3 linked regions of the Lonchura striata genome follow. The protein of the gene in region 1 purifies or fractionates together with the protein of each later gene. This does not show direct contact. Links are inferred from orthologs where the notes say so. Each region holds a gene or a part of one and is shown on either strand. Other genes may lie near its edges. The genes, in order: DCP1B, EDC4 and BAG4.

What was found.
Region 2: the proteins of DCP1B (region 1) and EDC4 purify together in Homo sapiens (affinity purification with mass spectrometry; 3 studies listed by BioGRID and IntAct, with this or other methods). This does not show direct contact. The link is inferred for Lonchura striata from reciprocal best matches to the Homo sapiens genes DCP1B and EDC4.
Region 3: the proteins of DCP1B (region 1) and BAG4 purify together in Homo sapiens (affinity purification with mass spectrometry; 3 studies listed by BioGRID and IntAct, counting the BioPlex papers as one, with this or other methods). This does not show direct contact. The link is inferred for Lonchura striata from reciprocal best matches to the Homo sapiens genes DCP1B and BAG4.

What each region holds. Positions count from the first base shown.
Region 1 is NC_134607.1:12,757,773-12,764,847, reverse strand, and holds the start of DCP1B (mRNA-decapping enzyme 1B), read left to right. Parts: upstream 1-4,069; 5' UTR 4,070-4,103; coding exon 4,104-4,238; intron 4,239-5,280; coding exon 5,281-5,321; intron 5,322-7,075. UniProt on the Homo sapiens protein: May play a role in the degradation of mRNAs, both in normal mRNA turnover and in nonsense-mediated mRNA decay. May remove the 7-methyl guanine cap structure from mRNA molecules, yielding a 5'-phosphorylated mRNA fragment and 7m-GDP.
Region 2 is NC_134615.1:16,944,120-16,951,706, forward strand, and holds the start of EDC4 (enhancer of mRNA-decapping protein 4), read right to left. Parts: upstream 3,049-7,587; 5' UTR 3,000-3,048; coding exon 2,921-2,999; intron 1-2,920. Other genes in the region: NUTF2 (nuclear transport factor 2), read right to left, coding at 4,080-4,193. UniProt on the Homo sapiens protein: In the process of mRNA degradation, seems to play a role in mRNA decapping. Component of a complex containing DCP2 and DCP1A which functions in decapping of ARE-containing mRNAs. Promotes complex formation between DCP1A and DCP2.
Region 3 is NC_134634.1:4,382,749-4,390,451, reverse strand, and holds the start of BAG4 (BAG family molecular chaperone regulator 4), read right to left. Parts: upstream 3,032-7,703; 5' UTR 3,030-3,031; coding exon 2,982-3,029; intron 1,732-2,981; coding exon 1,492-1,731; intron 784-1,491; coding exon 538-783; intron 179-537; coding exon 1-178. Other genes in the region: U6 snRNA-associated Sm-like protein LSm1, read left to right, coding at 3,237-3,282, 3,449-3,517, 3,990-4,105, 4,629-4,799. UniProt on the Homo sapiens protein: Inhibits the chaperone activity of HSP70/HSC70 by promoting substrate release. Prevents constitutive TNFRSF1A signaling. Negative regulator of PRKN translocation to damaged mitochondria.

The sequences.
Region 1 (7,075 bases):
ACAGGGCACTGGTTCCCAAAGGGGGGAGAGGGGCTGAAAAACCCACATATTTCAGTTGTGCCTGGGAAGGGATGCAGCCAGACTCCAGCACAAAGCACAGGGCATTGGTTGCCAAAGAGGGAGAGTTACCATGCTGCAGCACTGAAGGCACATGCCCAGGAATATGTGGAGCATGGGTAATCAAGCCTTGCTGGATCATTCTGGCTCCATCAGAGCAACCTGCTGCTCCCAGGAAAGCAGCATGCTGGAAGGCATCACACAAATGCATTTAAGCAGCCCTGGATGAGTAAGAGGAACTTAGGAGTGCTGCCTCAGCACTCTCTCCTCTAGCAGGGGCAGCAGTGGTGCCACCAGTCAGGGTGAGAAGAAAACTGTGGCAGCCTTTGGGAAGGAATAAAAAGGAAAAGGCAACTACCATGCAATAACAGCGTCAAAGGGGCTGGAGAAGAGGAAGTGAGGCAAACGAGGTGCTCAGCACTACATTAGCTCAAGTGATTTCTGCTGTTTATCAGAAAAGGTGAAGCTCAGAGAAAGGAGCAAGTGTGGGCAGGTAGGCAGACAGCCAGGGGAGGCTGTGAGCTCAGCAGGGCTGTGAACACTTGTTTCTCACACAGTTCATTTCCCCCATTTGTCTGGTTCATACTGAGGCCACGCACACACCTGTGCCAGGCCGGACCAAGGTGCCAGAAGGGCAGGACTGAATGCCTGGGATTGCAGGGCTTGCATATGCTCAGCAGTGCCCCCAGATAAATCCACAGAAAATCACATGCTCAGCACCAATAATTTGCTGGAAGAAGCATGCCTGAATCTTTAAAAGTGTCACAGATCCTTGAATGCGAAGGTTTAATAACTGCTTGGAAAGCCCTCATGAAAAGGTTTGGCATGACCATCTCAACATTTGTTATTAAAGGAGACCTTCAAAATGTCATGCTGCAGGGATTTTGCCTTAAATCGGCCTGAGTATTATCTACACAAAATGTCATATCAAAAGCAAGATGTGGTTTCTGTTTTTTAACAGAACAGTATCCAGGTAGGTAAAGACAAAAAAGTTACATCCTAATTATATACTTCATGAAATTATGACATTTTGAAAGCTAGAAAATTACTTTTTTTCATAAACAAAGTTACAGCAAAATCATTCAGACTCAATTTTGCAGTTGTCATGAACTACTGGATTACTGACTGTAAGAAAAAGAAGCATAGTTTAAGTAATCAATGTTTTTAAGCTGTGACATTTTTGCTAAAACATCTTTAAGTTTTTAGAGAATTCACAGTGTTTCTCTTCTTAACATAGTCTTGTTTCATTGGAAAATTTTTAGTCTGCTATCAAGTGATCCCGTAAAGCAGGGCAGAACTAATGGCTTTATTAAATATATTTACTTCAGGCTAAATGGAAGGAGCAATTATATTCCACTTATGCAGGAAAACAGCTGGAACCCACTGAAGGTAGCTCAGAGTGTAACAGAAAATATAAAAAGGCCTGATCAGAAGCCTGACAGCTTCACTGACTCAAAACACAATGTTAGGGAACTGCCTGTCCAGCTGTGTGAGAAAGGGGCACAGGGACCTGGGAGGGAGGTGGTAAAAAGCAGTGACAAACAGAAACACACAGCCAAAAGATCTGACAGTCAGCTTCAAGAGATTTGAAGAGGAAAAAAAAAAAGGTAAAAAAGCAGGGCATCTTTTTTTAAGTATTATGGTTAGAGACAGGAAAAGCATCTGTAAAGGAAAAGTCAAGAAGTGAGACTCCAACAGTTTCACACTTCTAAGCCTTGCCGACAAGTTTGGACTTTGTGTAAGCAGGAGAATTGCCAAAGAATTGAAGATGATGGTAAAAAGAAGCCCCCAGCACATGAGGAGGAATCTGCTTAAGGGTGCCTGGAAACTGTGAATTGAGAACTATTTAATCAACAAAAAGAAACTAATACTCATCTTTTAATTATTTAAGCAAAAGCTGACTTATCTTTCCTACTTACTTTTTTTTTTTTTTTTTTTTTTTTTTTTTTTTTTTTTTTTTTTTTTTCCTCTCTACTCTGGGTCATGTCCAGACCAAGGACAGCATTTTTCCTTGTCCACCACGAGCCCATGTGTCTTCCTTGCTGTTACAGAATCTGTAGGTCAGCCAGAGCTTTGCAGTGCAACTGCTTAGAGCCATTTTCCTACCACAAGCATCACAAAAAACCCACAGAATTCTAAACTCTAAAGCTGTATTTCATCACAGCCCCAAATGAAACAAGGTGGCTTTAGACAAGGAGGAAATGAGAGAGAGACAGATTATAACCAGAGTATGTTCAGATGTTTCCTCTCCTAATAGATGCTTGCAGAGCAAGCTGTAGGTCCTTATTCTTGGTGATGCAATTTTTGATGACCTTCTGAGATACAATAAAACTCTCCTAAGTCCCAAAAACTATCCTTTTTGACAACATGGCCTCTCCTAACTCCACTCAAGAGACTTCACTCTCCGTACATTTAATTCTATGAATTCCCAGCTTGCTGTCTCTCAATTCTCTTCTATCCTCACTTCACACAATGAATCTTTTACCTAGACTTGCCTATGTGCTCTTGGAAGGACTCTACTGCTCACTCTATCCCACCGGCTCCATCTGGCCTGGAGCGAGAAGAAGGGAAGAAAAAACAGCAGACCTCATCCTCTCTGTTCAGCTCCTGTCCTTTCAAAAATGCTGTGTCAGGAATATTGCAAACAATTAAGACAGCATCCACTACCGTCACCTTGGTTCTTCCAGCGCATCCTGTTCTCTGGAAGTAAATATATCACGCTCCTGCTTCTGTACAGGGAAGGTGGTGACTGTCTCCAGAATGGCTACATCAGTCTGAGGTGATGAAGTAAAAAGAATTTGCTCTTGCAGAGCGTTCAGGCAGGAGGGTTAAGCAAAGCTTTTCCATGGAAGTATGTACTGAGCTTATCTGCATGCCTCATAAAGCTCATGTATTTGCTGTAAACTGTCGGTACCAACAGATTAGTAACAAACATGTGCATGTTTGTCTGATGGGAAAAGGTGGCAACTGAATCCTTGGTCTTGTCCATCTGTTGCTCGTGTTTGTGTAACTACATATTAGAGCATGCTTGCTTAGGTTTCAACTGCTTGTCACACATAGGAGTGTATATATATATATATACATCTATATATATATATATGAATGTGTTTGTGTGTATATTTATGCACACGAGGGCTGTGTGCTGCGTGGTGGTTTAGTTTGCAATGCCGCTCCCTTCGGCTGGGTGCAGGGGTGGATGAGGGTGCCAGCAAACACGGGCTGGCTGTGCTAGGCGATGCGAGCCTGGCCCGGGGGGCTGGGGCCGGGCAGAGCCCCTCACGGACCCCCGACCCCCTCACGGACCCCTGAACCCCTCCTGGACCCCCGAGCCCCTCACGGATCCCCCGCTGACACACGGGCTGGACGCTCGGTCCCGCTCTCTGCAGGGACACCAGAGCACCCACAAACTCAGAGCTGCTCGGGATCATCCCGCCCGACCCCTGCCCAGGCAGGGCCACCGGGAGCAGGTGGCACAGGAACGGCTCCAGGTGGGCTTGGAATGTCTCCGGAGAGACCCCACGGCCACCCTGGGCTGCTGTTCAGTGCCCTGCCATCCTCAGTGTGAAGTTCCACATGCTGCGGTGGAACTCCTCGGGCTTTAGTTTGTACCCGCCGCTCCGCGTCCTGTCGCTGGGCACAGGAAGTCTGGCACTTTCTCCTTGGCACCTGCCTTGGCGACATTTACAGATCCCTCTTAGATTTCTCTTTCCTACAGAGACCTAAAGCTGGACTAAACAGGCGCAGATCCCGCATGTCCCCTCCTCTAAGGGATGGAGGCTCCCCATCCGCAGCAGGAGCACCACAGCACTGCCAGGAGGACGGGGAGGAGCTGGAGCCACGAGCCGGTGTCGTGTGTGGGACGGCGCGTCCCTGCGCTGCTGCGGGCACACCGAGCGCCCCCGCGTCTCCATCCCTGCCGTCCCCGCCCGCCCCTCGCCACCGCCCGCCATCCCGAGCGGCCGCCGCTCGGCGCTCGATTGAGGCGGCTGCTCCCGGGGCGGCGCGGCTCGGCGGTGGATTGGTGGGGGCTGCGCGGCGGGCGCAAGATGGCGGCGGCGCTGGGCCGGGGGCTGGACATCAGCCTGGCGGCGCTGCGGCAGCACGACCCCTACATCAGCGGCATCGTGGACGTGGCCAGCCAGGTGGCGCTCTACACCTTCGGCCACCGCGCCAGCCAGTGGGTACGTGCGTGCCCGCCCCGCCCGCCGCGGCACGCCCCGCCCGCCGCCGAGGTGTGAGGGTGGGGGAGCGGGAGGGGCCTGCCGCTGTCTCCTCCCGGTGTCCCCGGTGTGCCCCCGGCAGCTGGCCCGGGCACGCCGAGGAGCCCCGGGGTGCGCGGGGATGCAGCTCTGGGAGGCTGCAGGATGGAGGAGTTCCGCCACGTGCGGTGGTGGAGGCTGGAGTTTAACCTAGAGCTGTGTTGGAAAAGGGTTTAGCCTGGGGCTGTGGTTTAATCTAGGGTTTAGCCCGAGGCCGTGGAAGATCGGGGTTAACCCAGGGCTGTGGAGGCTGGAGTTTAACCCAGGGCTGGTTTTTCTCCCAAGGCCATGGAAGGCTGTGGTTTAACTCAGGGCTGTTTCTTGTCCTAAGGCCATGGAAGACTGGGGTGTAACCCATGGCTGGGGTTTAACTCCTCTGCCTTTCCAACACCTATAATGAGACCCAAACATGTGCAAATGAATGGTGGAGTTACCAGTGCTAAAAGCATTGTTGTAAGATGTGCAAATGTAATTATCTTGGTGAAACTGGAGGTAATAGAACATTTAGGCTGTTGGCAAGTGGTTCTTGGTTTGCTGTAAGGGTGAGACTTTGGGCCTGTGTTTGAAGAACCTGCCCAATCTGCCTTTTGTGTTGTTTTCCCCCCCGTTTCTGTGCCAAACAACACCCTGGAGGGCAGGTGCCCTTTGAAAGCTCCTGTCTCTGCCTCTTGAGTGTGTGTTGTGCTCAGGTGTAACCTATAATTAACCCAGTGCAATGTTTAGTGCCATGGTGGTGTGCCTTCAGCCTTTCCATATCTTACCTCAAACCCTGGATCAGCTGTGTGGTGACCAGTGCTAGCTCCAGCCTCTCACCACCAACCCGTGAAATTTGGTTTAGTAATTTTTTCCTGTTTTGGGTGAGAGAGGTGTAACTGATGGTACTGATAAAACAGAAAAGGGGGCTCACTGATGGTAACCAAAACGCTGCCCTGTTTTCAACTTTCTTAATGTTCCTTTTCTTCAGGAGAAGACAGATGTGGAGGGAACGCTGTTTGTTTACACGAGGTGAGCACATTTTGACATATACAGGTGAAATCTGTGGATATGGAAAAGCTGCCTGGGATGGAGCATGGCTGAATGAAATAAAATGCTCCTCTTTGTTCAAGGGTGAAAAGAAACTGAAACTGCCAGAAGCAAATGTGGGAAAGAAAACCCTCTGAAGGAGACAAGACCTTGTATTTTGATAACACTTCCAAATGTGATTTAAATGTCAGTATGGGTAAACTGCAGAAATCTTCTGTGATGCTTTCAATAGGATTTTCAATTTAAATTTGTCTGAACAAAAAAAAAAAGTGAAATAATTATATTGCTTAAAGGAAGGGAATGTCAGAGATTTTGAAATACTGTGTCCCCTAATTAGGGAACTTTCATACTACTTGTGTCTGTTTTTCATGCATATTTCATCCAACATTTTGGATGGTTTTCATGTTTTTTTTTTTTTTAGCAGGAGCTCTGGTGGTGGCTTTCAGAGCATCATTTTTTGCACCATTTGTTCTAGTACGTGTTTGTTCTGTTGTGAAGCCCTGTGCTAGGGGCTCCTTGTTGGTGCCCCAGGATTTCTCTGTGACTGCTGTTAAAATCAGGAAGTTACACAGTCGGCAGCTCTTGCAGTAGCTGCCGAGGTGTAACACCAAAGCAGAAAGTTACTTTTTCAGCTTTCATATCAAAGAGGAGCTGGTAGGAGAGCTGAGAAAGCAAGAGATGGTTCTGAGAAGTGTGTGAGGTGACAGAGAGGCCCAAGAGCCTGTGAGCTCTGTGGGAAGTGGGAATGCTGTTTCAGTCTCTGCAGCTCTCTTGTACCAGCAATGGTGGCAGTGGTCATCAGTAGTTTTTCTAAGCTGCTCTCGGGTAAGTGGAGACCAGATGCTGTAAAATTACCACCACAAGAGGAAAGCAGCAGCCCTTTGTTGTGCTGGCACTAGGTGGATGTGGTGACTTGTGTGCTGAAAACAGAAGCAGTGTTTCCTGGTATGTTGGTTTCAAAGCTCAAGAATTGACAACATGAAACCTGGTCCTTCTGGTATTCTGGTATTTATCTTTCACTGTTGTTTTTGTTGCCTGAGGAGGTTTCCATTTAGGGCACAAGTTGCTGCCTGGCTGCACTTTAGCAGCAGTATGGAACAGGTTGTGAACAACTATGAGTAACAGCATGCATTGCCCTCATCATCAGTTTTAACTTTAATTTTCTGTAACTTCAAACACATTTATGAAGTCCTGTGGAAAGCACATTGCCAGCAGACAGTTTGGAGACCAGTGGTGCCGCCTTTGTTTCTTCTCATTACCTTAGTCACAATGTAAAATGATGGTTACCATTTTACTTGGGCTGACTTGCTGCCCAGCTCATCTTTGTGAATTAGAGGAAGTCAAAAAGTCAAACTTCCAACTGGATGAACACCATTGGAAGTGGACTGTTTGTTTGTTTGAAGTGAAATATTGATCCTTGCAAACAAGGCTTCTTGTCAAGGATTTCCTTTTGATTATTTTTTTGGTTAACTCCAATCCTGTAACACAGGTTCCTGTATTTTGGTTTAATAAAAAAATCCACACACCAGCAATTAAGTGGAGGTGGCACTTTTCCCAAATGTTTAGCCATCATCTTTTCCTTTCTTAACAAACTTGGTTTGAAAGGAGTGTCCCCTGTCAGGATCATGACAGGTTTAACAGTTTTATCTAAGTGACTTGAAGTGTAATCTCCATGAATGAGCATAATGGCTTAGAGTCGTAGCATGGTTTAGGTTCATCATTTATCAGGGATTATT
Region 2 (7,587 bases), on another chromosome or scaffold:
AGAGCCTTCCAAAGTAAGACAACCTTTCTGCCACTGAATAGGCTTCAACAGATCAGGGTGAGTGCTGCTGCCTAAAACACAACTGCAGTTATTAATTTGCCAGAAGGGTATTTTAAGCTTGCCTGTTTATGAAGAGTCATTATGGACACAGGAATGTGCAGTGACAGGGTACACTGATGCAGGGACAATTCGGGCACTTGCCTCAGTGTACCTGCACTGCATGAAGAAAAAGCAGCAGCACTCACACAGCACAAGGAAACTCAAGCAAGGAATGTGATCCAGCACCTCACACTGGTGCTATGCTTGCTGTCAGCATTAAGATCTGCCCCTTATTCCTAGAGCATATGGTGGGTGCTTGTCCAGTTGCAGCTACTTCCACTGACAGCACTTGATCCTTTGTGACCAAAGGCAGGGAAATATTCCCTACAGAAAAAGCATCCCGTCTCTCAGAGAAAGATGATATGTGCTTTGCCCTTTTGCAGCCACAGGACTCTCATGTAAGTACTGCTGCTCTTTTACAGACAGCAGGATAGTGATGTTTGCTCCATGGGAAAAAGGAACGATGAAAACACTCCCCAGAGGCTGATGGGCCCAACAACAGCACACCCAAGTTCAGGAATGGGCACAGCTCAGTCTGTGTTAGTGGAAGCCAGACAAGCATAGGTGCTGCCTGTGCACAATCCTGAAGGCATAAAAGAAGGGAAGAGGCTCTGTTTAGTAAGAACATGAACTAAACCAAAAAGTTAAGCCAGACTGGTAGATAAAGGTCTCAAAGAGAAAGAAAGGTGTATGAATTCATTACCTTTTCAAAGAGCAGGAGCAGTCAGAGCTGAGACACTGAACTCTTCCTGCTCCCACCATCAGCACCAGGAGATGCCAGCATGCACTGAACAGAACACTGCCCTGATGCACCATGAGCAGGGTGAGCCCACATAACACCTGGTTATCAGCAGAGATCTCTTATGGATTGAAGGATCCTGCCCACACCAGCAGGGATGCTCCTCTTCAGCACAATGGCACTGACAGCCTGTCCCCACATCCCAGCAAGCAGGTCCATGCTTTGGCAACAGCTACTGAAGCATTGCAAGAAGTTCGCCAAAACTGGGAGAAACTGTGTCAAGAGAGACAGACTGGGCAGTGGATTACATTTTCACCAAGCCCAGCAGAATTTAAAGGGTATTGTGACAGTTGTGAACTCTTTGGAGCAGGGAGTGTTTCTTGTCACCTGCCTGGACAGGATCTAGAGGAACACAACACTGCTCAGGGCTACCTGCACTTGGTACTGCAAAACTTGAAGGCTCCCCTATTCCTCTCCCCTGGCAGCCTAACAGGAGTTTCAGAGACTTTCAGCTAACATGTGCACTCTTCTTCTTCCCCTTATTATGTGAGTCTTTTCAAGTTTATTTGCTGTTATGCAGGCAGTGATTTCTGCTGAGAATAGCCACAGGTTCCTCCTGTGAACTTCCTGCCCACTTGTTCCTTCTCCTCTCAGATGCCTTCTTGTGCACTGGAGTTGACAGAGAAGGCAAAAAGAGAATGAAGAGGAAAGAAGAATGAAAAAAATAAGCCATATTCTGTCAGTAACTCCTTGACTTCAACCAGCAGGAGAAGCTGCTTCAGAAGAAAGTCAAGTCATCTTGAGCAACAACTCCAACCATTTCTCAACCACAATATATCCTTTCAGTTCAGAAACTGCTTGTGAAACGAGTCTTCCCCATCCCTGCACTGAGTTCTCCTTTCAGTTTTCCAAGTACTGTGCTGCACTACAAATAAAATACGAATTTTTCTTGTAAGAATTAGAATTCAGGACATGTGCTAGCACTCCAGAAACCACAAAAACTACTCCAATTAATGAGAAGTTTCTCTAAGGGTAGTAGAGCTAATGAAGCTGCCTTCCTGTAGGTTTAGCCCATCACTTCAAGGGCCTCTACAGCCCTCCACAACAATCCCACACCCACCCTCTCTTCCTTTTGCCCAAGCAAAAGGCAGCACACATGGCAGATGCTTTGGAGGTAGCATGTTCCCGCTGAGTCTCAGGACATTTTGAAGTTATATTATTCCTGTCCTGCCTTTCTCTTGAAAGGAGCATAAGAGGGGCATAATTCTGTCCTCTACCCAGAGGTTAAGATATTTTTGCACAGCATTCATGTCTCAGCCTCCTTCAGAGTGTTACCTCACCACATTTGACTGAAACACCACAGCAGGTTCAACAAAGGAGATGAGATCGAGAGCCGAAGCTCCAGGGGAGTGGGAACACTAACCAGCTGACTCCTGAGCCTGCTGCTGATACTCTTACAGGCAGAAGGGAGCCCGCTGAACTCTGAGCAGGGAAGTATGATAGTTCCGAGCACAAAAGACTCACAAACACTTCAGAAGAGATATCCGTGATCCCATTTCACGTACAAATAAGGAGAGCGAAAAGTTCGTGTAAAGGAGGAACCTGGCACTGATCTCAGAGCAGCCTACAAGCCTCTTCCACTCGATCCACTCCCAGTGCTCCCGGGAAGGGGGGACACTCGTGTCACGGAGCTCGGTGCGGTTCAGCTCCCAGCAGCAACACCTCCAGCTGAATGGAGCCCCGAGAGCGCCGCAGCAGCGAGCTCTGGGGCCGGGCTGCTCTCGCTCTGCCCAGCGCCAGCAGCCCCTCCCTCAAGCGAGGGTCCCCAGGCCGGGGCTCCCTCCCCTCTCCTCTCCTCACCGCGGGCTCAGCGAGGCAGTGCCGAGCGGGACCCCTGGCCCTGGGCGGGTCGGAGGGCGCTGCCAGGCGCCCCGAGGCGAAGCGGTCCCGGCCGGGCCCCGAGCGCGGCCGCTGACAACCGGCGGGGCGGCGGCGCAACGGCCGAGGGGCTCCCGCGGCCCGGCCGAGACCAGGCCCCGCCCGGCCCGGCCCGGCGGCCTCCCGCGCCCCGCCGCTCCTCACCTCCCGGCCGGTCCAGCTTGAGGATGTCCCGCAGGTGCTGCGTGGCGTCCTCGATGTCGATGCTGGAGCAGGAGGCCATGGGGCCCGGCGCGCCGCCCGCCCGCGCCGCCGCCACCGCGCTGCCCGGCCCGGCCCCGCCGCCCGCGCTTCCGCCTCCGGCCCGGCCCTGCGAGCGCCGGGCGGAAACCGCCGCCCGAACGGAGCGTTCCCGGCGCGGCGGGGCGGGGCCGCGGCGGCCCGGGGCTCCCCCGCCGCCGCCCCGCACACGGCGGCTGCCGCCGGACGGGGAGGCTGCACACAGCGCAGCGCGGAACCGAGCGGAGCTCCAGGCACAGACTGCCCGTGTGCGTTCGCCTGCGGAGGGAACAAAGGTGTCCCGTGGCTTGGAGCGGGCACGGAGACCGACTGCAGGCTACCGCCACTGTACTAGTGGGGAATTTGCATCCGTAAAATACAACAGGTGAGAACGAAGCTGTCGGTGTTAAAAACTGAGCCAGAAGGCTCGGTTACAAAAGCTGCTGAGGAGATGGTGTATGGAGGAGGGCAGACGTGCCCTGCACTCGCTGCTGAAACTGTGAGGCATTGTTCAGCTGGAGCTCCAGCTCTGCAAGCATTCCCCCACCAGACAGACACAATCTACCCCCAGCAAGCACTTATCACACACACTCCACAGCCAACTCATAAAAACAATTTAAACTTTTAAGAAAATCTCTGTTTTATTGTGTAATGTAGCATTGAAACATCTGAACAAATCAATAACTGGGCTGTACAGGCTGCTGTTCTTTCATTTCTTTGGGTTATAGAGCATCTTGTCAGTACATAAACAACAACCTTTTGCATTATAAATTCTTTCCGAGGCATGCTGGTACAACACAAATTTCTCTTATCAAATGCAGCTAAGTCTAACTTCCAAACATCATGCACAAGAAACTCATCTAGTGACAATGTAAACTCAGCAGAAGGGCAGGTCACAAGTCTTGCTTGCTCACGCTCTGCAGTGCTGCAGGTTTGTGTATGATATTTGGAATGTTCCGTGAGTGTGAATAATACCAGTTAAGAGGAGAGGAGGAAAACGGGAAAAAAAAAAAAAAAAAAAAAGAAAGAAAAAATAAAAGAAAAAAGAAAAAAAAAAAAGCCCGGGTGCCTCGGGATGGGCTGCTCAGCCAAAGTTGTGCAGTGCTAGCCTGAACATGTCATTGGTGCAAACCCAGGCATCGTTGATGTTCTTTAATAGAAATATCTGGTGGAATCCCATGATAGGATCTTCATCAGCCTGTAGAAAGAGAGAGGGGGAAAAAAGGTTCAAAACACTAATTTTTTTGATAAGCTTATTCCAAAACTCATGATGAGACAACTTCAAGCTAACATTAATAGTGACATTACATGCTGTAAAATGTGTAGCACCCCAGGAGACACCAACACCACCAGAGGACCTGTTCTGAAGGGCTTTGCAGACAAACACCCAGGGCCCAGAGACATGGAAATGCTGCAACGGCATCTGAAGTTGGGGTTTGGTGGAAGACTTACTGACATGTCACTCACCACACTGATGGAACATGCCTGCCTCAGTGTTGAATCACAAAGCCCTTGCCCAGGAATTAATCTTAAAAGAAAGTGGTGTGATTTTTAACTGCTGAACTTTGGGTTGATGGCAGAAGGGAGTTTCTGTAGAGGTTGGTATCAACATGTTGCCTGGATGATCCAGGTGATCTGGGCTTTGAAAGCCTTGCCAGAGCAGGTGCAGCTGGCCAGAAACACAGCACTTCCCACTTGCAGCAACAGCTGGAAGGGAGCAGAGCATTCACTACAGCTGTGACAACGTGTCCTAAGCACAGGGAATGGCTGCAGCTGTGCCTCCACTCCTGCCTGACAACACATCTGGGTATTTACAACATTACTACAAAACTAGAAAGTAGTATTAGAGGGAGACTAGTAAGTACTTCCACCCAATTTTATTTATCCATAGTTTCAGAGACATCGTGCAGGAATTAAATCCTCAAAATAACATAAATGATTCCCAAATCAATCAGCTGGAAACCACACAACAGGATTTAATCTGAACAGCACACAGGGCCAACTACAATCTTCTGATGGTGGCTGTAGTGTGTTCAATTCAGCATTTCTGGAGGATTTTAAGCTTTATTTTTTCAACACATCACTATTCAGCTTCAGAAAAGGGAGGAAATTTATTTTAAAAAAGGCTTGAAAAGCAGCAGCCAGAGCAGCTCATGAAAGAGGCACTCAAAGCACTGAATGTTCATTGGCAATGCTCTGCTGCTGTTCACTGAGAACAAGTGAAAAGTGAAGAGCAAAGCAGACTACAGAAAGATCAGAAAAGAAACTTTACTTTAAAAAAAGTATTCATGGACAGTGAAACAAGTCAGTTTTGAGGACCAACTTGCAAAGGACATCACTTCTATCACAGGACAGCAGGTGTGCCAGAACATTGGTGGCATCAGGTGCATGGAAAGGAAGCATTCAGATCCATAACCACTGCAAGGATTTCACAGTGACAACCAGCTGGGAAGTTAAGTGGTGTACATGAAGTGCAGTTTCAGTAAGTGTGTGTTAATTCACAGAGTAAACCAAAGTGGGCCCTAGACTGGCCCCTCATGAAAGTGACACTGAAATAATAATTGATATGTATTTATTAAACCAGCTGAGAGCTGTAAAGCTATCAAGGCAAGCACAGGGTTAGCAGTTGTTAGGGAAGAACAAAGAACCAAATCCCAGAAGTAAGCAAATGCATAAATAGGCAAAGAGCACCCACATATCAAAACCTGCATGCGTTTCTTATAAGTTAAAAAATAAAATGCTACAGTAAAGTCATAAAAGGACAAGAAAAATGATCCAGCTAGAGGATGGTTTCCTACTGAAGAAAGTAAATTGAGTAAAACTTTTCAGCTTGCAAAAACATAATGAGAATGGGGAGAATAGACAAGATAAATTACTACAAAATCATGAAGAAGAAAGTGAATGAGGAAACTATTACAGCCAGAAATTAGGAAGGCAACAAGTAAGGCCAGGATTATGTGCAAGCCAGTGTTCAATACATGACTGAGACTGAGAGAATTCTCTGAGAATGAGCGAAAAAATCCTCAAAGCAAGACAGGTGCCAGCAGTCACTGTCCAGCCAACAAACAGGGCAGCTTGTCCCTCAGTACACACCTGCTTTGCATGGGGCAGAAGCTCCCTAGGAACGAGCCCAGTGTGAGCACCAGCAATTCTGCTGGGCTAGACCAGCCATCCATGGCGTGCATCAGCACATCTGCCAGCAGCCATGGCAAGTGTTTCAAAGGAAATATTATCTCTACTGCACGTGCCCAGAACAGAGGCTCACATATCCGTGCTGTAGAGGTGGCCTGTGCACCGAAGCCCATGGGTTTGTGCCTTTTCCAGCTTTTCCTGGGTATCCAGTGTAACCCATCCCAGGAGAGCCTCATCACTGCTTGGGAGTTAGCAGGTTCTCAACTCCCAGTTGTCCTCCTTGTTGCAGATCACCGAGGCATCTATTACAAGTTGCATAAGTACTTTTCACACCAAATTTGAGCTTGTCATTACTGACGTAAATATGCTTTAATAGATACCTCTGGAAAAAAAAAATACCATCACCAGACAAGCTTTACTGTAGGTCTCCTTGATTTCTGATAAGCCTAGGTAGCCTCTGATAAGAGCACTGCAGCTCTTGATGCTTTGGCTTAAGGAGAATTTCCTCCTTTCTTAAGAAATTCAGCGCTGGACACATGAATAAAGACTAAAAGGGAATTCTCCCCAAAACATCTGGTGTGGTACAGACAACAAATTCCAACAATGAAGTCACACATTATTATTTTCTTTATTCCTTTCATGTTATCCCTTCATAGCATAGATGAGCAGTGTACTTTAAAAACAAGGAAAATCCTAGACTACATTCAAGGTGACGTATATACTTTATAGTCCATTCCCCAATTTTGACTATGTAATATTAGCACATAGCAAAGGCTCACAGTTTAGTGACTCAAGATACCACAGAAAACACAGACTAATCCTATTCTGTATTATTTTAGATCTTCATCACAGCTCAGATAACACCACTGAAACTCCCTCTCCTTACTTTTCACTCCAAATTCAGGCATGTCCAACTCAGGATTTGCATTCCACCCCTGTGAGCCCAGGCTCAAAACACAAGGGGCTTTAGTCTTCCTATAAAACTTTCCTTTGTGCAGTTCAAGTTCTTCCATGACATCACTGAATTAAAACAAAAATTAAACAAGTCCCAGAATTAGACTGGAAGAATCTTCTGATTTCCAGGCCAGCCTTTTGCTCAGCATGAGCACAGACTGCAGCAGCTCTGCATCACAGAACCACAGAACACGCTGGTTTGGAACAGAGATGGTAAAAGTCCACAGAAGGACCTTTAGAGATCATCTAATCCAATCATCCTGTCCTGGGCAGGGACATCTTTCAAAGGCCACAGCCTTGTCTAGCAGAGTCTTCAAATTCTCACAGAACAGATGTTTCACAAGATGCTCAGGCACCACTTCCCAGGATTTCAGTCTTCTCACAAAATCTTCTCTTCCCCATCAGTACCTTCCAAGTTATGGTTTCTAACCACTGTCTCTTGTTACACTGTCTGGCTCCACTGAGAAGAGTTTGCTTTCAGCTTGTTGGAAGTACTCAATTACTTT
Region 3 (7,703 bases), on another chromosome or scaffold:
CCATGGGCTTGCGAGCAGCGAGGTCATAGAGCTGGGGCTGGGCACTGTACTGCACCCGGGGCTGGCACGGGGCAGGCTTGGCCGCCCTGTGCTCGTTCACTGGCCCCGAGAGCCGCTGGTTGCCATCAGAATAGTAACTGTGCTGGCTGGGGCTTTGCTCAGGTCTGTAGACAGAGTCCTGCAGACAGAGGGAGAAAACATCTCTAAGTGCATTTCCCTTCAACCCGGAGGTTTCCGCTCTCATCCTGCGCCAAACAGCAGACAGGGCTGGGGACGCTGGGGACAGGGACCTGTGCTCTGCTCCCATGTCAGAAAGAGAAAGCCCAGCAAGGGGCACCTGCCCAGAGCAGTCTGAGCCCTGAACCCCCCAACAGGGCTGCTACTGCCAGGCACCAAAAACATGGAGTCACTTAATCCCTGATCCAACCTGGCCTGTCAGACCCATTTCAAGACCCACCCCAGGACATCTTGTCCTTCCAGTACTTTATGGAATTGCAGCCAGGGATTTAAGTCTTCTGCATGCACACAGGACCTCACCTGTCCCTGTGACTCCCAGGTGGGAGGGTGGGAAGCAGCCCCGCTGCTGGTCCAGGATGGGTGTGAATCCGAGACGTAGAGGCTGCCGTGCCCCGAGGCGGGCCAGGCGTAGCGAGGCTGCGCCCCATAGCCAGAGTGGGGGCCCCACGTGTCCTCCAGGGCTCTGGGCTGTGGCACCAGGCCCTGCCCCGTGAGCCCTGTGCTGCTGTCCCCGTATGGATACTGCGGCACTGGCATTCCTGGGGTCTGCACAGACAGGGAAACAGGCGTTACAGAGGGGTCACTGCCAGCCCTGCCCCCTCACACAGCCCTGGGAGCTGGGACGGGCATTGCAGGGGGGTCACTGCCAGCCCTGGGAGCTGGGACAGGCATTGCAGGGGGTCATTGCCAGCCCTGGGAGCTGGGACAGGCATTACAGGGGGTCACTGCCAGCCCTGTCCCCTCACACAGCCCTGGGAGCTGGGACGGGCATTGCAGGGGGTCACTGCCAGCCCTGTCCCCTCACACAGACCTGGACAGGCATTGCAGGGGGGTCACTGCCTGCCCTGGGAGCTGGGACGGGCATTGCAGGGGGGGGTCACTGCCAGCCCTGTCCCCTCACACAGCCCTGGGAGCTGGGACAGGCATTGCAGGGAGATCATTGCCAGCCCTGTCCCCTCACACAGACCTGGACAGGCATTACAGGGGATCACTGCCAGCCCTGTTCCCTCACACAGCCCTGGGAGCTGGATGGAACGGCTGCAGCTCAGGTTGGCTGCCCAATTCCCACTTTCCCAGCCCAAAAGCTGAGGGTTTCCAAAGAACAGGGTGACCACCAGTTTTGGTAAGATTAAAGCAGGCAGGACAAGACACTCCAGAGCCACGGGCACCCCCAGCCCACCAGAGCCTTTTCCCCCTGCACAGCCCCACGACACGTCCCGGGCACCACTCGTGCCGCGCTGGCAGTGCCCTTACCTGTGGCGGGGAGTAGCTGGGGGCCTGCTGCCTGCGGAGGGCCGAGCCCTCGGGGGGACACTCCGGGGGGCCGTAGCTCCAGGCGGGAGCGGGCGACGGGGGCCGGTAGAGGCCCGCGGGCTCCGGGGGGTAGGGGCTGCGCGCGGGCCCCGAGCAGTAGAAGCCCCGTGCCTGCGGCAGGCTGGCGTAGTGCGGGTACGGGGGGCTGTAGGCTCCGTTGGCATAGGGAGAATCCATGGCCTGGGGACAAGGGAAGAGCACAGGGAAGGTGACGGGACATGGACACAGGCAGAGGTGCTCCAGGAACAAGGTCTGGCCCTTCCTGCATTGAACCAGGGGGTTCCTTTGCCCTCAAGTGATCTGCCCCAGTTTTAGGCTTTCCTGGTCTAACCTGGCTGTACCAGGTCTAGCACTAAGCTTAACCAGGTCTTGCTCAGCCGAGCTGGGCTCAGGGGGAGGCGTGCAGCCCCTCACAGTGAGCAGCTCCTGGAGGATTCTATGCCAGTACTGCATCACTGACGGGAGGATGGAAAACTCTCCAGAAAAGTTCATTTCCCTGCTGATTCTCAAACAGACGAGCTCTGCCAGCCAGTGTTCAGCTCCTGGAGCTCCTAGAGCTGCAGCTCATGTGCATCTCTGTACGGAAGGTCTGCACACCCAAGGACATCCGAGGGTTTACCGGGATCCATCCCATGTTGTGTAGGGAACTCGAGTTTCCACCTGACAGCAGAGGGGATGTGAAGCACAGGCTTTCAGGAGCTCGGGGAATGACTCCCTGTACCTTCGGGCAAAGCAGTGTTCTGCCCCTGAGCTGCTTCCAGAGCGCAGGCTGTGCAGCCTGTGTGCCGGGATTTATGGAAGGGCTGGAGAAAAACCAAACCAAACCAAACCAGACCAAAGCACGGCTGGAGGGCAGAGCCTGCCCCGGCCGGGCAAAGCCCTTCTCGCCACACGGAATTTGCACGGCAGCCCGAAACGCAGCTGCCATAAACGCCGCAGGTACGGATCCGGGAATGCCCAGCCCCGTGACCGGGGCCCTCCCGCTCCGCAAAGCGCTCCGGGCCCCGCGTTCCCGGGATCCCCGCACGGCACAGGCGCCCGTGAGGCGGCTCCGCCGGCAGCGCCTCCCCGCGCTGCTCTCCGCCCCGTCACACGCCCGGAGGGCTCCGCGAGAAACCGGCGGGGCGGGGGAGGCTCCCGGGGCCCGCCCTGCGCGCCCGTTATCGGGGCAGGGCCGGGCCGAGCGCTGCCGCCCGCCCCGGGAATTGTGCCGATCCCGGGGCCGAGCCCTCCCGGGGCCGAGCCCTCCCGGTGGCCGAGCCCTCCCGGGGCCGTGCCCTCCCGGTGGCCGTGCCCTCCCGGGGCCGTGCCCTCCCGGGGCCGTGCCCTCCCCGGTGGCCGTGCCCTCCCGGGGCCGAGCCCTCCCCGGTGGCCGTGCCCTCCCGGGGCCGAGCCCTCCCGGGGCCGTGCCCGCCCCTCGCCCCCGTTACCTGCGCGGCCGCCGCGGGCGGGCCCGGCCCGGCCGTGCGGGGCTCCATGGTCGCCGCCAAGGCCACGCCCCCGCGCGCCCCGCGCCCAATCGGCGGCCGCTCCCCGCCCTCGCCGGCCAATCGGCGGCGGCCCCGCGCGCACGGCTGGCGCGGCTTAAAAGGGCAGCGGCGGGTGGGCCCCGCCCGCGCGGGCGGTTCCGGGGCGGCGGCGGCGGCGGCGCATGGCGGCGCTTCCGCTGCGGGCGCGGCGGCACCATGAACTACATGCCCGGCACGGCCAGCCTGATCCAGGACATCGACAGTGAGTGTCCCGGGGCGCCCCGCCCCGTCCCCTCCGTGGCCCGCCGGTGCCTGCCCTGCCCCCGGGTCCTGCCCGCGGTTCCCCGTGCGGCGCCCGGACCCCTCTCCCCGTAGCGGGTCCCGGAGCCGTGGGGCCGTGGCCGACCCGCCGCTCTCCTTTCCCGCAGAGAAGCACCTGGTGCTGCTGCGGGACGGGCGGACGCTCATCGGGTACCTGCGCAGCATCGACCAGTTCGGTACGGCCGGGCCGCGGCAGCGCCGGGGATGGCGAGGAGGAGGAGGGAGCGCTGCTTGCCAGTGGGCTTGTGCTGGGGGTTGAACCCCCCCCTCTGTCCCCTGGACCCCTTCTCCCACACCTGGGAGCTCCCCGTCCCGCCCTTGCATCCAGTGCTGGCGCTCTGGCGTCGCTTTCTGGGGAGAAGCAGCCGGGTGATGTTATGTTCGTCCTCCGGGTGATGTTCATCCTCCGGCCAGCACCCCGAGCTTGCAGCACCACCATCGCCATCATCTTCTGTGCTGCGGGGGCCCGGGTGGGCTCGGAGCCGCGGGGTGGGGACAGTGTCGGTAGCTTCGGTGACCCGGCTCCGGGCAGGCACCGAGCGCCAGGGGAGAGCCAGCGCCGGTGCTGCTCCGGTGGGACGGGGGACACTGCTCGGCCACAGTTCGCCGTGGAACGTCGGTGTTTTTCTCTCTGTCTCGTTGCTGCAGCAAACTTGGTGTTGCACCAGACTGTAGAGCGCATCCACGTGGGCAAGAAGTATGGGGACATCCCCCGGGGCATCTTCGTGGTGAGGGGCGAGAATGTGGTGCTGCTGGGGGAAATTGTAAGTGCTCGGCTCCCGCTGCAGTCTGGGCCCGGGCTGGGGGGTTGTGGTCTGCCTGTCTGTCTGTCAGCTCTGAAATGCGGTTGCTGTTGTGGGCTGGAATCGGAGCCACCTCCAGGGCCAGTTTAGGCTGAGCCAGCACAGAAATGCCAGCCTGCATGGCAGGGCAGCCTCCTGCTGCCGCAGCCCCTCTGGGATGACACCAGAACGAAGAACAACGCAGAGGGAGCTGTGGGGAAGCTCCAGCTTGTGTGGCACTGCTGGAGGCTGTCATGCTGGCTGCCTGTTACCTCCCTGCAGACACCACCTGGGATGGGCTCAGGAGGAGCCGAGCGCTGTTTGCTTTGGGGTGCCCAGGAGCCCCTTGCCAGGGCTGTGCTGGGGATCCCTGCCCACATCCCCAGCCCTCAGGGCGCTTCCAGCACCTCTGTTCTCTGTCAGCCCCACCGCTGGCTGCCGCGGGGGCACAGGTGCCCTGCGGTCCAGGGACGCTGTCAGAGCTGAGGGCTCGTTTCTCCTGCAGGACCTGGAGAAGGAGAGCGACACGCCTCTGCAGCAGGTGTCCATCGAGGAGATCCTGGAGGAGCAGCGGGTGGAACAGCAGGCCAAGCAGGAGTCGGAGAAGCTGAAGGTGCAGGCGCTGAAGGAGAGGGGCCTCTCGGTGCCGCGGGCCGACACGCTGGATGAGTACTGAGGTGCTGCCCTTTCCTGCAAGGAGCGAGGGCTGCTCCAGGACCTGCCTGGGCAGGGACAGACTGCCTTGGAAAGGCAGGTTTCATTTTCAGATTGTATTTTCTGTGGTGCTGGTAACTGCACACAAATCATGCCCTTAGTCTCCTTCTGGAGAAGGAGATGAGGAGGGCCCAGTGCACTGGGAGTGCAAGCATTTGTGTTTGGGAGGCAAATCACTGCTCCTTGGCTTTGTTTGCTTTTTCCTCCTCACGTGACTTTGGGTGAGAGTTTTCCTTGACATGTAAATAAATCCTTGAACCTGACATTGATGGCTTTCCGGTATTCTGGTCCTGGCAGTTCCCCCTCTCTCAGGATGAGCACTCCTCAGGCTAGCTCTTGTCCCCTCTGTGTGCTGTGCAGGGACAGACAGGCCCCCTGGTCCAGCCATGGGCTGGGCTCACTCTGAGAGAACACTGGAGCCCAAGGCAAGATCCTGCTCTGGGCTGGGGAGCAGAACCTGGGTACCCCCGTACCCCAACACAGACCACTCGTACCCCCCAGCTAGGCTGTGCCACTCCCCTGCAGCTGAGCCTGCTAATTACCAGCTGAAAGCACTAATTACCTGCTGGTGAAGAGCTGCTGCACCTGGGACACGGCAGAGCCTGGAGCTCCAGCCCCTCCTGGCCTCGCTGCTGGGGGAGCTGCTGCAGCTGTACCAGGCTGGAGAGTCCTTTGCCCCGTGTGTCCCGGCCCTCCCTGGGGAGGAGAGTCCTTGGCCTCGGGGCTGGCTTTGGGCAGCTGCCAGGCCCCAGGAGCCTCCTGGGTGTGGGCAGGGAAGGGCAAACCTCGGCAGGCACAGTCCCTGTGGAACCTCGGGCAGTGGGAGTTCTTTGGGTGAAGAGTTCCTGCTGGGGGGCAGAGAACAAACAGCTCTGCTTGCTGGGGCTGAGCACAGCTGCCCTGGAGAGCTGACAGCTGTTGTGGCCACTGCTGGCCCCCTCTCACTGGCCCAGGGACCACTTGCTTTGGTGGGAAACATTTCTGCCCCGTTGGGCTTGAGTGGGTGTTGTGGATAGCAAAAGTTTAAACAAAGAAATGCTATTTCTTGTTCTAACAGAATTTAATAAAAGGCATTTATGGAGCTGGCGCCTGTGGCTGGAAAGTCTCTGGCAGGTGGGGATGGCTCTTTGGGGGTGTTTTTGCTGTCCCTGTTTGTTTGGCAGTGTTTTGGGGTGAGGGGGGATCAGGGCAGCGATGCCTGGGGGGAGGCAAGGGCTGCCCAGCCCCGGTGGTGGGGTCCCAGCCCTGCAGCCCAGGGCTTTGGGGGTGTGGGGAGCTGGTGGGGGTCAGGACATGGGCTCACTTTGCTGCTCTTGAGCCCATTATCTTATCAGGGCGTCGGGTCGACCTCTGTGGCACCAGGGGCTGTGGTTTGTCTCTGCTCTCCAAATAGCACCACAGGCAGCCTTGGGATGGGGGGACACCCTGGCCGGGCTGCTGCAGGAGGGACAGGGTCACCCCGACAGCCACCTCTGCTGCAGCCCTGCTGTGGGAACGGGCTGGGAGAGGGGAATGCGCTCGGAGGGGGCTGGGCTGGGCAGGGTGGGGGGTCAGGGCACCCTCAGGGCTCTTGGGTCCCTCAGCCTCCAGGCCCTGGTGCGGCTCCGGTGCCTTTGGTTGGCATCATTGTGGTTTTGTACATTTGTGAACGTTTGTACTTCAAGCCCTATTAGGTGAATGCAAGTGGAGCTGTGTGGTGACTTTGTGCAGGAGCCTGGGGGTGCCTCAGGGGGCTGTGGGGGCTGGGGTGTCCCAGTTAACCAGATCCCCCTGAGGGTTCTGAGTGCTTTTTGGGGTCTGTGTCCTGCTTTGGGGTGTGGCCACCTGCAGCATTTCCTCACCAGCACGGTGTGGCTGTGCCCGTGTCCCCTCCTGAGGGCACAGCTGGGGTCGTGCCCCTCCAGCCCGGAGCCAGAGGGGCGGCTCTGCACGGTTTGTTTTGGTTCTTCTCACAAACAACTGCGTGGCCTTGTGCCGAGGCCGGGAGCGGCGGCTCCATCCGGGAAAACAGCCCTGGATCACTCAGAGCCTGGGGCTCCCCGGGGCTGTGTGTGCCTGCTCCTGGGGCAGGGGACTGCACTGGGATGGGACTGGGAGAGCTGGGGTGGGACTGGGACTGCGAGGGCTGGGGCAGTGCACAGCACTGGGGTGGGACTGGGAGGGCTGGGGCAGTGCACAGCACTGGGGTGTCTCTGGTGGCCCCAAACACCCAGACCTGTCACTGCTCTGCGTGTGCTTGGCCAGAGCTCTGGGCTGGACACTCCTGGCTGAGACTCAGGGGTTCCAAACCCTCCTGGGTCTCCCTCTCCCCATGTGCAGGGAGATGGGAGCAGGTGGGTGAAGCCCAGAGGTGGGGAGAGCTGTGGCATCACCCGGGAATCACACCTGTGGGAGCATGGCTGCAAAGAGGAATTCCCAGTAAAGGTTTTGGAAAGGGATGGTGCAGTTTCTGCCTCCTCCTGATGCCTCCAGCACCTCCCTCTAACCCCACACTGCTGACCTGAGCCTGAGGTATTTTCTGGCACACAGTGGAGGATGGCAGCCCTGACAATACAGAGGAACATCCCGTGGGGCAGCAGGACCCTTCTGGAGGGCAGGTGGGACTCAAATCATCTCAGGAAAGCTGGGGACAGGCTGGGGGAGACAAAGGGCTCCCTGGGGCCGGGCTGCTGGCACAGTGAGGGGGTGACCCCCCCCGGGCCAAGCTGTTGAAATGGGGGAGCAAGGTCAGGCTCCCTGCAGGAGGGTGCAGGGGCTGACGTCAAAGGAAGCAGCTGTAATTCACAGGTTCCTGGGAGTGCTGGTCTCCAAGCCGTAATTCATCCCAGAAATGTCATTTCAGCCTTGAGCATTATCGCTGCTCTGC